Linked DNA regions of Saccharomyces cerevisiae S288C. The protein of the gene in region 2 purifies or fractionates together with the protein of the main gene of each other region. This does not show direct contact. Each region holds a gene or a part of one and is shown on either strand. Other genes may lie near its edges.

Region 1 (7,954 bases), on a different chromosome or scaffold from region 2:
GTTAACAAACGCGGCGACCTGCGCAAGCTGTGAATCAGTAAGCGTTAAAATTTCATCCCTCTCTTCATCCTCAAGGGCCATTATATCATAGACCGTCTCGACGTTAATTTCTTTACATTTTTCCAAAATTTTGTTGTTGAAGTGTGGAATCTGTCTCAACGGATTATCAACGTCCCATACACCCTGAATCAACATCTGCGCCAAATCCATGGCGGTAGTAGCATTCAAATACCCGTTTGCTGAAAGGATATCAACCACTACGTTAATTAGTGGAACAACCTTTTCTAGAATGTCTTTTAAATCATTTTGAAAGTCGACAGGTAATTCAAGACGTGAAAAATATGCTTGTAACAATAAGAAAACTTTAAAGCTCACCGAACCAGAAGAGGTGTGTTCAGGGAATCTCAATGGTAGTCTTTTACTTAATTTGACAAGTAATGCTCTGTCTCCTTTTCTGAGTGGAACACTTTCGAATTCTACTGCTGTTGAAAGAACATACAGCATGTTTTTGAGCGTTGACGTATTCGATAAAGAAGAAACGAATGACTGAATAGTAAAAAATGATACGCCATAGTGAGAAGCAATTAGCCCGTTGCTCAAGGTAGAAATGATTTCAGTTGCTTCATCATCTCCTCCATTAACTTCTGCGGTTACTTCAGCTTCTGTATCGTCAATTTCAATGAAGGATGATTCAACTAAGTCATTCAAACAAGTTTCAACTAAATTACTCAAAAAAACTGAAATTCCATGTGGAGACGTATCCCTTACGCCATAATAGCTTGGATTCACATGGATACGACGATAGAAATACGAATATGTAAACCAGTCAACACAATCTTGTTTGCTTTGTATAATAGAATTTGCTATCTCGTTGTTCAGAGTATCATGAATAATATACTGTAGGTAACTCTCAGTAGGCAAAGGCTCAATTAAGAATTTTTTGTAGTAGGCCTTCATGTTGTGACTTGTCAAAATTAAAACCTTGCCTGCCATTGAATCGTTACCACTAGCTAGTCCCACCATTTCTAGAAGTTCATTTATGGTATATGGCATATATTTATGCTCTGCACCATCATAAAGGTTGGTTCCTAAAATAATCACTTCATCAGTTTTACAAGCGAATGCAGAACAATCCTTAGAAATGAGTAAAACCGATACCGCACCATATTCGTATAACCTTTTCACAATTCTTTCATCATTTGATGCCATCCCCTTATACAAAATACCAACACCGTGTTTTAAAGGTGCTCTTAGATGACCATCTGTTAACTTTTCAATGTATGGTACAATTTGCTCTTCTTCAACGTTCAACATATCCCATTCAATTGCTTTTGAAAACTTCATAAATGCAGACGCAACTTCCATACAATCCTTTCTAGATGGTAAGAACACCGAACTGGAATTACGATTTCCCGCTGCAGCAGCAGATGCTTCAAATGCCATTTGAAGCATCGAAAAATTGAATGATATGTGCTCAACATCTTTAAATGACTGAATATTAATTTCAAGAGGCTCAATTCTTTCGCTTGGAGAAAAGTTGTAGATGTTTGACTTCGTCATACCAGCCCATTCACCAAAATCACGAGCATTTGCCAAACAGTTCGAAAGGCAAACAAATCGAATTTTCTTTTCAAGTTGGGTTGCTATAAATATCATTCTAGAAATTAGCGTTTCATACACAGCACCGTAAACACCTTGGCTAATCTCATGAGCGTCATCATATATCATTAATTCTAAACTTTGGATGTTCTTCCTTTGTCTCCAACGACGTGACAAAAGCTCAAATTGCACGGGGGTAGCCAAGAGAACATGGCTTTTTGCTAATAATTTTAAATTTAGTGAAGGATCATTTCCTAGCTTATTTATTATCTTACCACCAGCAAGATGAGAGAACCTTTTATTCCAATCAGATAGCAAAAAATCAATTTTTTCCCCAGACGGATTGATATAAACCGCTCTTCCTTTATTCTGTCTCCAATGATTTAACAGTGCTAATTCAGCCATAGCTGTTTTACCTGTGCCCTTTCCTGAACCTACAAAGACCGAGTCATTCGAATTGTAGAGAGACTCGAAGACCTGGCTCTGAATCTTGTTGAAAGTTTTAAATTCAAATACTTCGGAAAAATCATCATTGCCAAGCTCTGATGTTGAAATACTAATATTCTCCAGAAGGGGAGTAGGAGGAGGAAATTTTTTCGGAAGTTTAAATCCATTGAAGGAAACTGGAATCTCGAATTCACTGTGCCACCAATTTTCTGATATCAAAGTAAGGAAGAAATTAGGTGGTAAGTTATTTTGATTGTGCTGCTTTAACTCATAAGTAAAGGATAAGGTAAATTCATGACCAACTATATCTGGAGTGATGAATAGTACGTCATAATAAAGTATTGAATCACCATCAGTGTCTTCTAGCATGAGCAAAAAAGGTTCAAGGGAACCGTGTACATTCATATCCCATATCCAGTCGGCTATTATTTCAATGTTGAACCTCATAACGCTACGGGTAATTGGCTGAGCGTTGCATGTTACGGACATTTTGGGAAATCTTTTCAATAAATCGTAAACCTGTTTTCCATATTTTTCAGATCTGATTGCACGACCAACTTCGGCAGGTGTTTCTAGCTGTAGATAATCTCCCCACGGTACTGTAGAGGCTTCCAGCCTTTTAATCACTTCGACAGGGCATGTTTTAAACTGTCTTAAAGGACAGTTTGTTGGCCACATTTTAGTTGTGGCAGATTTGCAAAGATTTAACAACATCCGTGTGGGATGTCCCCATCCTCTCTTCAAGCATATTTCAAACATAGCACGCAATAACCTACCAGCATTTTGGTGAATAAACACTATATCAGAATTAAGTGCAAAACCTTCGAACTTTAGCTGGGAAAAATAAGACTGCAGTAGTACATTCACTTTTGCTAAAGGATCATCAATATCTTCTCTGATAGGAATGGGTGCTTTCTCTAGAAGTTGTTTTAGTTCTCTTTTCTCTTCATATCTCACCGATACGTACTTAAACTCTTCCGACATTGAGAATATTCTAAAAAGATCAATCTGAGTTGTATGTTCATCTAACTCTCTATTGTAAACATCCATGGAAGCATGATTTATGTAAAATGACGACGCTATATTTCCTAGATCGGTCGCCTCAATTACATCATTTTCAGCATCATATAACACCAACTCTTGTTCTTTTAAAATGCATAGGGCCGAATGGACTAAGCTTTCTCTAAACTTTTTCAATTGCCCATCACTTGAAATATCAGGTACTTTGTAAAGCATAGGGGAAGCTAACATTCTGACATATAGGTAAGTATACGCCAACCAATTCACAGCATCATTCCTGCACTTAATGTTACCCGCGACAACTTCTGCATTTAAGTTGTCAACTAATTTTGAAACAAATTGCGATTCTATTGGTAATTGTTGATTTAAAACCGAGAGATAATATTGAACATTCGATTGGTCTGTTATTATAATACCCTCGCCAAATGTGTCATATCTCGGTCTGCCTGCTCTACCTAACATTTGAAGTACATCTTGTGGAGAAAGTTGTTCCCAGGACCCCTTTTCAGGTGAATAGACATCTGTTCCTTTTATAATCACTGTATGAGCAGGTAGATTAACACCCCATGCTAACGTCGCAGTGCATACCAATACTTGCAACAACCCGTCTGCAAATAAATCTTCAGATAAGGATCTGTCACTTCTGGTCAGCCCTGCGTGATGCGTCCCTATACCGCTTTCAATCAACTTTCGTAGACTTGGATCGAGTACGTTGGCTGCTTCTGTCTTTAAAATCTGCTTCGATCCTGCATCATTTTTGGTTAATTTATGAGTAATGTTCTCTTCAGCAAATTTATTTTTCAACCATGTTGCTGTTCGTGATGTTTCTTTTCGAGAATGAACAAACACGATTATTTGATTACCTTCATTGATGGATTCCAATACCTTTTCATAACAAGCATCATTCATAGCCTTCAGCTTTTTCAAGGAGTTCCGTTCCTTAATGCCACAAAACTGTTGAGATAGAGGACACGGTCTAAATGAGGAGTCAAAATAAAACAATCCTTCCTTCGGAACTCTTAAAAACCTACCGACATCCTCATAATTTGGTAAGGTGGCAGAAAGGCCTATTATTCTGGGGTATTCCTGGCCATATTTGGAAGCCCAAAATGTCCTAGCCACGATGCTTTCCAATACTGGTCCCCTGTCATCATGTAACAAATGTATTTCATCTATAATCAACAAACGAACAAGTTCTACGATGGCCAAATTATTTGAATTTCTAGTAGTTATGTCCCATTTCTCTGGCGTAGACACCAAAACCTGCGTCTCGTCAATTTGCTTTCTACTAAGCCTAGAATCACCAGTCAATTCAGCGACTTTTATACCTAGAAAAGCCAACCTCCTTTGAAATTCTCGGACTTGTTCCTGTACTAAGGCTTTCAAGGGTGCTATATAAACAATTTTAAATGCAGAAAGGTTTAATTTCTTAGTTTTCGGGTTATAATGATGGGATAAGGCTTTCAATACCGTCAATAACGCGATATTCGTCTTACCTGAACCAGTGGGTGCACATATTAGCATGTTTGAATCACCTTCAAATGCTGCGTGAAAAACCTTTGATTGTATAGGGTTTAAGGACGTTGTTTCCGATGAAGGAAACGCCTCCTGACACCAATCTGGTAGAGAAGTAATTTCTTTCAACTCATAATCAATAACAGGTTTGCTAGGAGCTGGAATATGTATTTCGTCATATTGTGGTTTCACCCTTTTGAATGATCCTTCCGGTAGGGATACTTTTGTCACGGTCATTAATTTAGAACTTTCGTCGAATTTAATCTTTTCCAAATCTATGACGGGCGGTATTGCTGGATTACTGAATTTTGTTCTTTTTGCTTCCGAAGACTGTGGCTGGTCGTCACCGGAATCGAGTTCACGCTTTGAGTGTGTAGTTTCTCTAAATTTATACTGTTCCACAAGATCATTCAAACCTTTTGCAACCATTTTCTCTATTAAGTTCGGTATTTCATTCTCTGTGCTCTTCGCCAGTCGTATGCCCCAAAAAATTGTAGATCTATTCTTGAGAATAAATTCAGCCAGTGATATATTCTCGAATTTAAGCAGATCAACCAACTTCTGCTCCAACGCTACTGGATTATGCTCAAGTGTTTCAATATCATTCAAAATTTTTTCTGACAGGTCTTGTATTACAGAGGTATCCTTGTAACCAAGCTCTGACCGAAGTTTTCTCTGCAAAAAAAATTCATCGATTGAGTATATCGGAACGCTCTCGATATTACTTGTTTTACTATCGGAGAGTTTAATTATATCGTTTTCAATGTTTGGCAATGCCCTCTTGTTTTTTTTTTTAGAATTGACTTCAACGTCATTGTAATCATATTCCTCATCATCATCTTCATTATCATTGATTTCTCCCCCAAGAACATTAGCATTGTTGGACATTTCTGTTACTTCTTCTTCATCTGATTTTTCATCATCGGCAAGAATTGCTACTGCTTGTTTATTGCTATTGTCAGGATGTGTTTCATAATCGGTAATGTTTTTCATAAGTTTAACTAATTCGTTAAACTTCAGGGAGTCTATATTGATGCCTAGCTCATGCTGGATCTTTTCCTTTCGCTCTTCAATATTACCATCCTCATTTTCCTCATTTTCTTTCAATTGTCTGATGAATATATCAGCAGTTCCAATAATAAGATCATGGGGTATATCATTGCCTAAAACTTCTGTAACCCACTGCAAAATCTGCTCGTAAGTTTCGACATTTGAGGGATCCTTTGGATAATAATGTAACCTGAAATCGGAGGAAGAATTCAAAATGGTGTTATGCTGCTGAATTTTTTTCAATGATGCGCTCTTTCCAGTTTTTTCAACGGCTACATCATTTTCTTTTAGTCCTTTATTAATGTTATTGCACAGGCCCTGTCCCATATCCTTAGCACTAATTCTACCACTCATGGATTTTGGTTGTGATATTTCCGCATCCCTTTGAGGATTTTGGCTGGTATTCATAAAGCGTTTATCAACTTTCAACACCTTATTGGACATCTCATCATAACGATAAATTTCTCTAATTTTTTTGGCCTTATCCTTCGTTTCATGCTCAGTCATTTTTAATAACGAAGGCTCACGGTAAATCTTCCAAAGCAATTACTTATATTTACCTTCACCTTATTTTACTCAAGATTATCTCTATTAGTGTATTATTCCTTTATAGTAGACATAGCTTTAGTAGCATAAATTTTTAATATTCTCGTAAAGAGCGACAATATTCAATATTAGATCGTCAAAGAAGCAAACACGCATTGATATCTGAGAGATCATCACAATGCGTTAATAGTACTTGATTCAACACCACTAATTATCAAGTTTGTTCCTGTCTGAATGATATGGATAGTACGAATTTGAACAAACGGCCCTTATTACAATATAGTCTCAGTTCATTGGGCTCGCAAATAACAAAATGGAGCTCATCTAGACCGACTTCGCCAGTTCGTAAGGCGAGAAGCACTGAAAATGACTTTCTTTCCAAGCAAGATACGTCTAGTATCCTCCCAAGTATCAACGACGACGGCGGTGAACAGTGGTACGAAAAGTTCAAGCCCAATTGTTTGGAGCAAGTGGCCATACATAAAAGAAAACTTAAAGATGTACAAGAAGCTTTAGATGCCATGTTTTTACCTAACGCCAAGCATAGGATCCTACTACTGTCTGGCCCCAGTGGATGCTCTAAAAGTACGGTCATAAAAGAACTCTCAAAAATCTTAGTTCCTAAATACAGACAAAACAGCAACGGAACGTCCTTTCGAAGCACCCCGAACGAGCATAAAGTGACCGAGTTTAGAGGTGATTGTATAGTCAACGATCTTCCTCAGATGGAAAGCTTTAGTGAGTTCTTAAAAGGCGCACGGTATCTTGTGATGTCCAACCTGTCATTAATACTTATCGAGGACCTTCCCAACGTCTTCCATATAGATACCAGACGTCGATTTCAACAACTTATATTACAGTGGCTATATAGTTCGGAGCCTCTATTACCTCCCCTTGTTATATGTATAACTGAATGTGAAATTCCAGAGAACGATAATAATTATCGCAAATTTGGTATTGATTATACATTTAGTGCAGAAACCATAATGAACAAAGAAATATTGATGCATCCAAGGTTGAAAAGAATTAAGTTTAATCCAATTAACAGCACTTTATTAAAAAAGCACTTGAAATTTATTTGTGTACAGAATATGAAAATGTTGAAGGAGAAAAATAAATGGAATAAAAGACAGGAAGTCATAGATTATATTGCGCAAGAGACTGGTGATATTAGGTCGGCCATTACGACCCTTCAATTTTGGGCGACATCAAGTGGAAGTTTGCCGATTTCAACCCGAGAATCCACCATATCATACTTTCATGCCATTGGGAAGGTGATACATGGTTCCCATAGCACGAATAACGATAACGAAATGATTAATAACCTCTTCGAAAATTCGAACAATTTGTTATCGAAAGAGGATTTCAAATTAGGAATATTAGAGAACTATAACACATTTAATAAAGGCGAATTCAGCATTTCTGATGCATCATCAATTGTGGATTGCCTGAGCGAGTGTGATAATATGAATGGTCTACCAGAATCCAATGAGTATGGTTTACGAGAAGTGCGCAAAACCTTTCGTAACATCAGTAAACAAGGCCATAATCATGGAACGGTTTATTTTCCAAGAGAATGGAAAGTAAGAAAATTACAAAATTCATTTAAAGTTCAAGCTGAAGATTGGTTAAATGTTAGTCTTTATAAGTACAACGCGGTACATTCTTTCAGGAATATAACTCTAGAATTTGGCTACTACGCACCTCTAATTAGAAAGTGTCAGAGTTATAAAAAAAAATACATTCTCTATTATTTGAAGAATCTTCCGAGTGGCTC
Region 2 (6,031 bases):
ATATATGATAGTAGATAACTTCCCCACTTTAACCCAATTTATCCCAGGTGAGAACGTTTCTTGTGAGTACTTCGTTTGCGGCATTATCAAAGGATTCCTTTTCAATGCTGGATTTCCATGTGGCGTGACAGCACATCGAATGCCCCAAGGCGGACATAGTCAACGAACCGTTTATTTGATCCAATTTGACAGGCAAGTGCTTGACAGGGAAGGTTTGAGATTTGGCTGATATCATCTCAAAACATCGGTAAATACCTAAAACCAAGAAAAGGATAAAGAGTTTGTATATTTACTGTTGATTTATAGACATATGCTCATATATTCATTACGAAGAATGATTCTTTTAATTGTCGATTTCCTTGAAGTACATCTATCATATAAAATCATTTTCTTTTTATATTTTGGAATGTTTTTGTGCTAAAAAAATCATTATTCTGGGCGACATACAGTAAAATAATATTTAATATGAAACAAAGCGTATCATTTTGTAGACACCGATATCACGTTTGAACAGGTGAATAAAAATGCTCTGAATCAAACTGACCCAGCGTACGTAATAAAGAATCCTGATCATTGCATACTTTCATAAACCAGCCTTTGAATTTACAATCTTGTAAATAGCCTTCCCAAGTTTTTGATATTGAATTATTATGCATGTCCATTTTTATATCCCCAGTGTTTGTGTGCAACTCAAAATCTTCATTCCATTTTATCCTCTTCATCACCAAATTCTCATAAAATTTGCATGATTTTTCGTTACCCACGACTATAATTATTCCTGGTCCGTCATCACGTATACGGAGGCATAAACCCTTTAGTGATAGTTCTTTACTATTCATTTTCAACTTGAATCTTATTTTTGGGTTCTGTAAGTTTTTGAACTGGAACACCTTACAATGGTATACTGTCGGCTTTTCAACGTTCATATTGACTGCTTCTTTCCTTCTTTTAATAGCATCTTCATGTCTTCTTTCGTTTTCTTCCAGATGTTTTCTCTTCCTGAGGTCCACTTGGTCTTTCACTACTTTTTCCCAGGCAGTTGGGTCCGTTATGTTTTGATCATTCTCGAAAACACTCATCATGTTGCTTAGTTTAACTTTCGGTTCAGGCTTAGGTAATAGTCCTAACTTAATTTTTATCTCCCGTGCTTCTCTTGCCATTTTCCTTCTATTTCTCCTTAATCTTTTCCTTTCATGTTGCGTTAGATATGCTTTGATTGATACTTTTGCCTCGTTGATCTTTTCAGGTAAGGGATGTGCTACATATCTTATAGATGGGTGCTCATCATCATCATCATCGTCTACTTCATCAATATCTTCTGCTAGCTTTTCTTCGGCAGGCGATGTGCCATTCATGTCATATTTTTCCATCAACTCACCCTTTTCATCTAAATAAGCCGTGTCCCACCATTCATAGCCATGATTATTATCATAGTATATCTTGAACTTTGACAAATCTAATAGGAACTTATCCTCATGTAACTCTAAATTGGGTAAATCACCTGACTCAATTAATTTTCTTTTATCTTTCTCGTCTTCTTCTTGTTTTAACTTTCTTTTTAATTCTTCCTCCTCCTGCTGTTTTTGTAATGTTCTTTCTTGGGCAATTCTTTTACTGATTTCTCCCTTTTGGTAAAACTTCAGACCCCGTTCATAACGCCTGTTAAATCTGCTCGATGAGCCTCGATCGTGTGGATCACTAAGATAGGGATTTTCACCAGTTTGATAAGTTCTTCGGATAAGATTCAAATTTGAAGACTTTAACGCTGAGTGAAGTTCGGTTTTCAGACCATGGCCCTGAAACTTCTCCTCATCATTGGTAGTTTCTTCACGCCGTAAGAAACTTGGCTTATAATATGGACTATTTTGGCGTTTCGGATTACCTTTTTCATAGGTATTTCTTGGGGGCATTTTTTCAAGCCAATTCAATAGATCGCCTGATGTTTTCTGTGAGTCTTTTTGATTGTTTTACGTCATCTGGCATTCTAATACTTTACTAGGACTATTTCTTGTTATTGATCAGTGCGGGATCCAGTCAGAAAAACGCAGATGTGAATAATATTAAAATTTGTATGCTAAAAAAATTAACATAGTCAAGAAACTTTCTTTGAGTCATGGCTCTTTACTTTAGAACATATAAGAACAATTCACAGTGCCTGTCCAGAGGCCAAAAGCAGTATCTCTAGCTAAATGGATATGTTAACTACTGTTTCATTGGAGAAGCAGTTTTTAACCTTCCTGTTTCGCGAATATAGCTGCCAAGTATTATCCAAAATTGGGGAGTGAAGAAAAAGTAATTATCAGCATTCATTTTCGAGAATTTTACCTAAACTTTTTCGATAACATTGATTGTTCACTACGTTACATAGCAAGCCAGAGCTAGAAAAACTTATTGATTACAATCAATAGACTTGCATCATACATAACTTCAGGGTACTTGCAAGAATTTTCCTACAAAAAAAGTTGACTACGACAACCTAAAGGAGAACAACAGATTTTGTCACCTCTCGTACTAGATAATTACCAAAAAAATGCTACCGAAAAGGAGATAAAACACATCTAGAACATAGTAGTATCATGTCATGGCTTTTTCAAATCTAAAATCTGTTCCCTGCAGTTGTCATTTTCTCTTAGTCGTCATTGATATTGTTAAAAAGTTCCGGAATACTATTGTTAGGTCGTATTCTTAAATGAATAAGCTGTCAAAAAATGGAGTAGTATGGCAGTAAATTTGGGAAGCACAAAAGAAAAAATAAAATTTCTTGATGAATGTGCCTTTCACGAATGTGACTTCTCTTCCATAAATCCTGTTTCTCATCAATGAGCAGCTTCTTCCTCCAAAGATAACTGTTGAACCCTATAATTGTGACAGGTCAAAGAAGCCAATATAATGAAAAAGATAGCCAGTATCTATATTTGAACCATTTTAAGGATTTCACTGAATTGCAACGATACTGTCTTGTTTCGTGGACCTTGCACTTCGTAGATTCATCATGTTCTATACGTTTTTCATTTCCGCATTCTAAACCCAAAAGACAAGGGTTACAGCGTATGTTACGACACAATTCAATTCACCATTCCTAAGAAGTTAATATTGCAATATTTTTGCAACAATAACAACCGCATTGCTTTGAAAGTAATTGCAATAACTATGGATAAAGATCCATTATCTTGACTGGTGCTACTTTCAAAGGAGGTATACCTAATAATATAAAGCTTTGAAAGAATTGACGTGATACTAACCTTGTACATTGATTCTCATTTTAACGATTTTACAAACTCACTTAGCACGCATTATTGCCGGAAATACGAATAGGAACCCAGCTTATAATGAACACTGTCCACATTTCTTTTAGGTGAGAATGCGATGATGGAATTGCAGCATTATTAATTACTAGTGTAGGGTATTGAATGTCATTTTTGTCGATTAATATGTACAATACATGTTATGCATAAAGGCACAAAGTCATAAAAATGTTATAGAATTATATCGAATAAACACATAAGAACGTAAGACCAACTACAGCCTTCCGAACCCAAACAATCCGCCACGCTTAGGCGTATTTTTACTCTCATCTTCCTTTCTGAAAGATGACGGGGATCTCGATTTACTCTTAAAAAAAGAGAATAAACCACCACCGCCTGAGCTTGGTTTCAAGTGTGCTGAAGTTACGACCGGTTTTTTAATACGTTTACCAGAGTTCGAATCATTAGATTTTACTTTTCTGAGCGAAGATGAGCTACTGACTTTCCTCAAAGATGAATCCTTATTACCAGAACTCACACTATATGACTTTGAAGGTGCCAAATGGGGAAGGCCTGGAACGGACAACTGATCTGTGTCACGATGATGGTGATGATGATGTTGTTGTTGCTGGTCCCCTGGGCTGTCTAGCGAGTGCCTAGATTTAATAGCACCCAGTGCAGCATTACCATCTACATTCTTGACACTCGACGCGAACTTGATTTGCGGAGAACGTGATCTCGACGCACTCGCACTTGAGTTTATATCGGTAGCAGTAGGAGAGCTTGGTTTTGATTTGTCTCTTATCCTTGACTTAGAGCTTGATCTTGACTTGGATTTGGATCTAGATGAACTTGGATTGTCCAAAACATCAAGCATGGACCTCTGCGGGGTAGCCACATGCCTTGGAGGAGCACCACCTGTGATGACTCTTTTCAGTTCTTCAAAGCCCGACTCCATAGAGTGTGCTCTCTTTTCGTCTACATCCCCATTTTCAATACTATCAGTGATGCTATCGATTTCTAATGAAAACTTTAATGAAGATTCCAAAATAATATTCAGTTTTTTCAAATGCCTCTGTCCCGGTGGTATTGATGAATCATGATCGGCGTCATTTAACTGCTGAGCCATACTCTTTCTACGTTTCCTTGCCATGGTACATAACTTTTCCTTTACCGAAATGTTAGAGGTTAAGGATTTCACGGACATCACATCATTCTCATCATCCTTAAAAGCGTTAAGCTCATCATCAGATGCTTCCTCTCGGCTACTATTGTTAGCACCATTAGCTTCTGGGGCATAACATAGTGAATCTATAGAATAATCGTTATCTTGCTTCCGTTTGATATTTGAGATAGTTGGAATGCTAGCATCTGCTGATTTAGAATGGCTGAACCCAGGCTTTGGACCGCTAGTATTTTTTTGTTTCGTTACCTCCGGTTCTTTAAACTCTTTTTGCAAATCTATTTCCAAATCGAACATTCTCTTTGCCGGTACAATAAACGTTGGAATCGGAAAATTAGTACACAGTTTATCTGTCAGAAAGTTCGATTTCCAACGAACTAAGCTGTCTGTTCTCTCCCACCTCAAAGTGCTAGATACAAAGAAATCAGGTAAATAGATGTTTATTGCCTCAAGAAGCGTTTTTTTAGTCTTGCCAATTAGGATCTCGACAGTGACCTTGACAGAACGATCTTGCGGAATTATGAGTGTAACATAATCAAAAAGATCTTGCAATTTACGTTCTATTTCGTTCTGCGTATAACCAGATGTCCACTCGATAAAATTTTGGTGCTTTAATTTGTTGTCAGATTCCTCAGGCCCCAGAGAAAGTGCCCTTCTTGTACATATGGATCGTGATCTCGATCTGGATCGTGATCTTCTTGCTGAGCTAACACTCCTGCTATCATCCATCATCATTAGCATTCTTTTTCGCTCACTCATCGAATCATTGTCTTCGAAATTATTCTTAGTCAGGCGGGGCAGGTTTGCCAACACAACAATGTGGTCTGTATTTTGAATCAAAGTTCGTAGCGCCCAATCTAGTGCTACCCAAGTATGTTTCCTGCCGCTGATGTGGCACAATATCGTTCGAGGAGTGTTCGGGAACCCAACCTTTTCGCTCAAAACACGCTCTTTCCGCTTTTGAGACTTAGTCAAAGGCGTAAAGCCGTCTTCTATGGGAGGATTGAATTTTATTGTGGGAGTAGCGCCCTCAGACGACTTTTTTTTGTTTGGAGGAAACAGTATTGTTGGGTAATTGAAGAAATCGCGCTTTTGTTCTAATCGATGATCTATCTGATTTTTCTTCTTGATCCATAGTTGTCTCCAATTGGCATACGCCCTACTAATCACAAGAGCGTCATTGATATCGGTGGGTGTAGTAGGATAGTCTTCCCTTACAATTTTACCATTTTCAGAAATCTTAAACATCTTACCTATTTTGATGTTTCTTTTAGAGGCAGGAGGTGGAGAAGAATACCTGCCGGGACTAGCACTGCCCTCTCGCCTACTCGAATAGCTATTCCCGGAGAAGTAGTCGGCATTGTTGTCCGAGGTAAAGCCACTTTCGTCGTCATAATATTCCTCCATTGTATAATCTGCAGAGATCTGCACGCCAGGAAATTCTCTTTTCTCTTCATCTAAGGGCGAAGATACCCTTGATCTGGGAACTGTGTTGAAAGATACGCATGGTAGGTACTTTTCGTTGCTGCCTTTCCCCTTCTTTTTGACGGAACTGCTCGAGTCCAATATCGAGGCTAGACTGCGCCTGTCATCATTGTTGGAC

Evidence for each region.
Region 1: the proteins of PRP3 (region 2) and BRR2 purify together in Saccharomyces cerevisiae (affinity purification with mass spectrometry; 8 studies listed by BioGRID, with this or other methods). This does not show direct contact.

The regions. Positions count from the first base shown.
Region 1 is NC_001137.3:529,884-537,837, forward strand, and holds the start of BRR2 (ATP-dependent RNA helicase BRR2), read right to left. Parts: upstream 6,139-7,954; coding exon 1-6,138. Other genes in the region: RAD24 (Rad24p), read left to right, coding at 6,417-7,954.
Region 2 is NC_001136.10:1,403,945-1,409,975, forward strand, and holds PRP3 (U4/U6-U5 snRNP complex subunit PRP3), read right to left. Parts: upstream 1,911-6,031; coding exon 501-1,910; downstream 1-500. Other genes in the region: TRAPP subunit TRS31, read left to right, coding at 1-229; JIP4 (Jip4p), read right to left, coding at 3,520-6,031.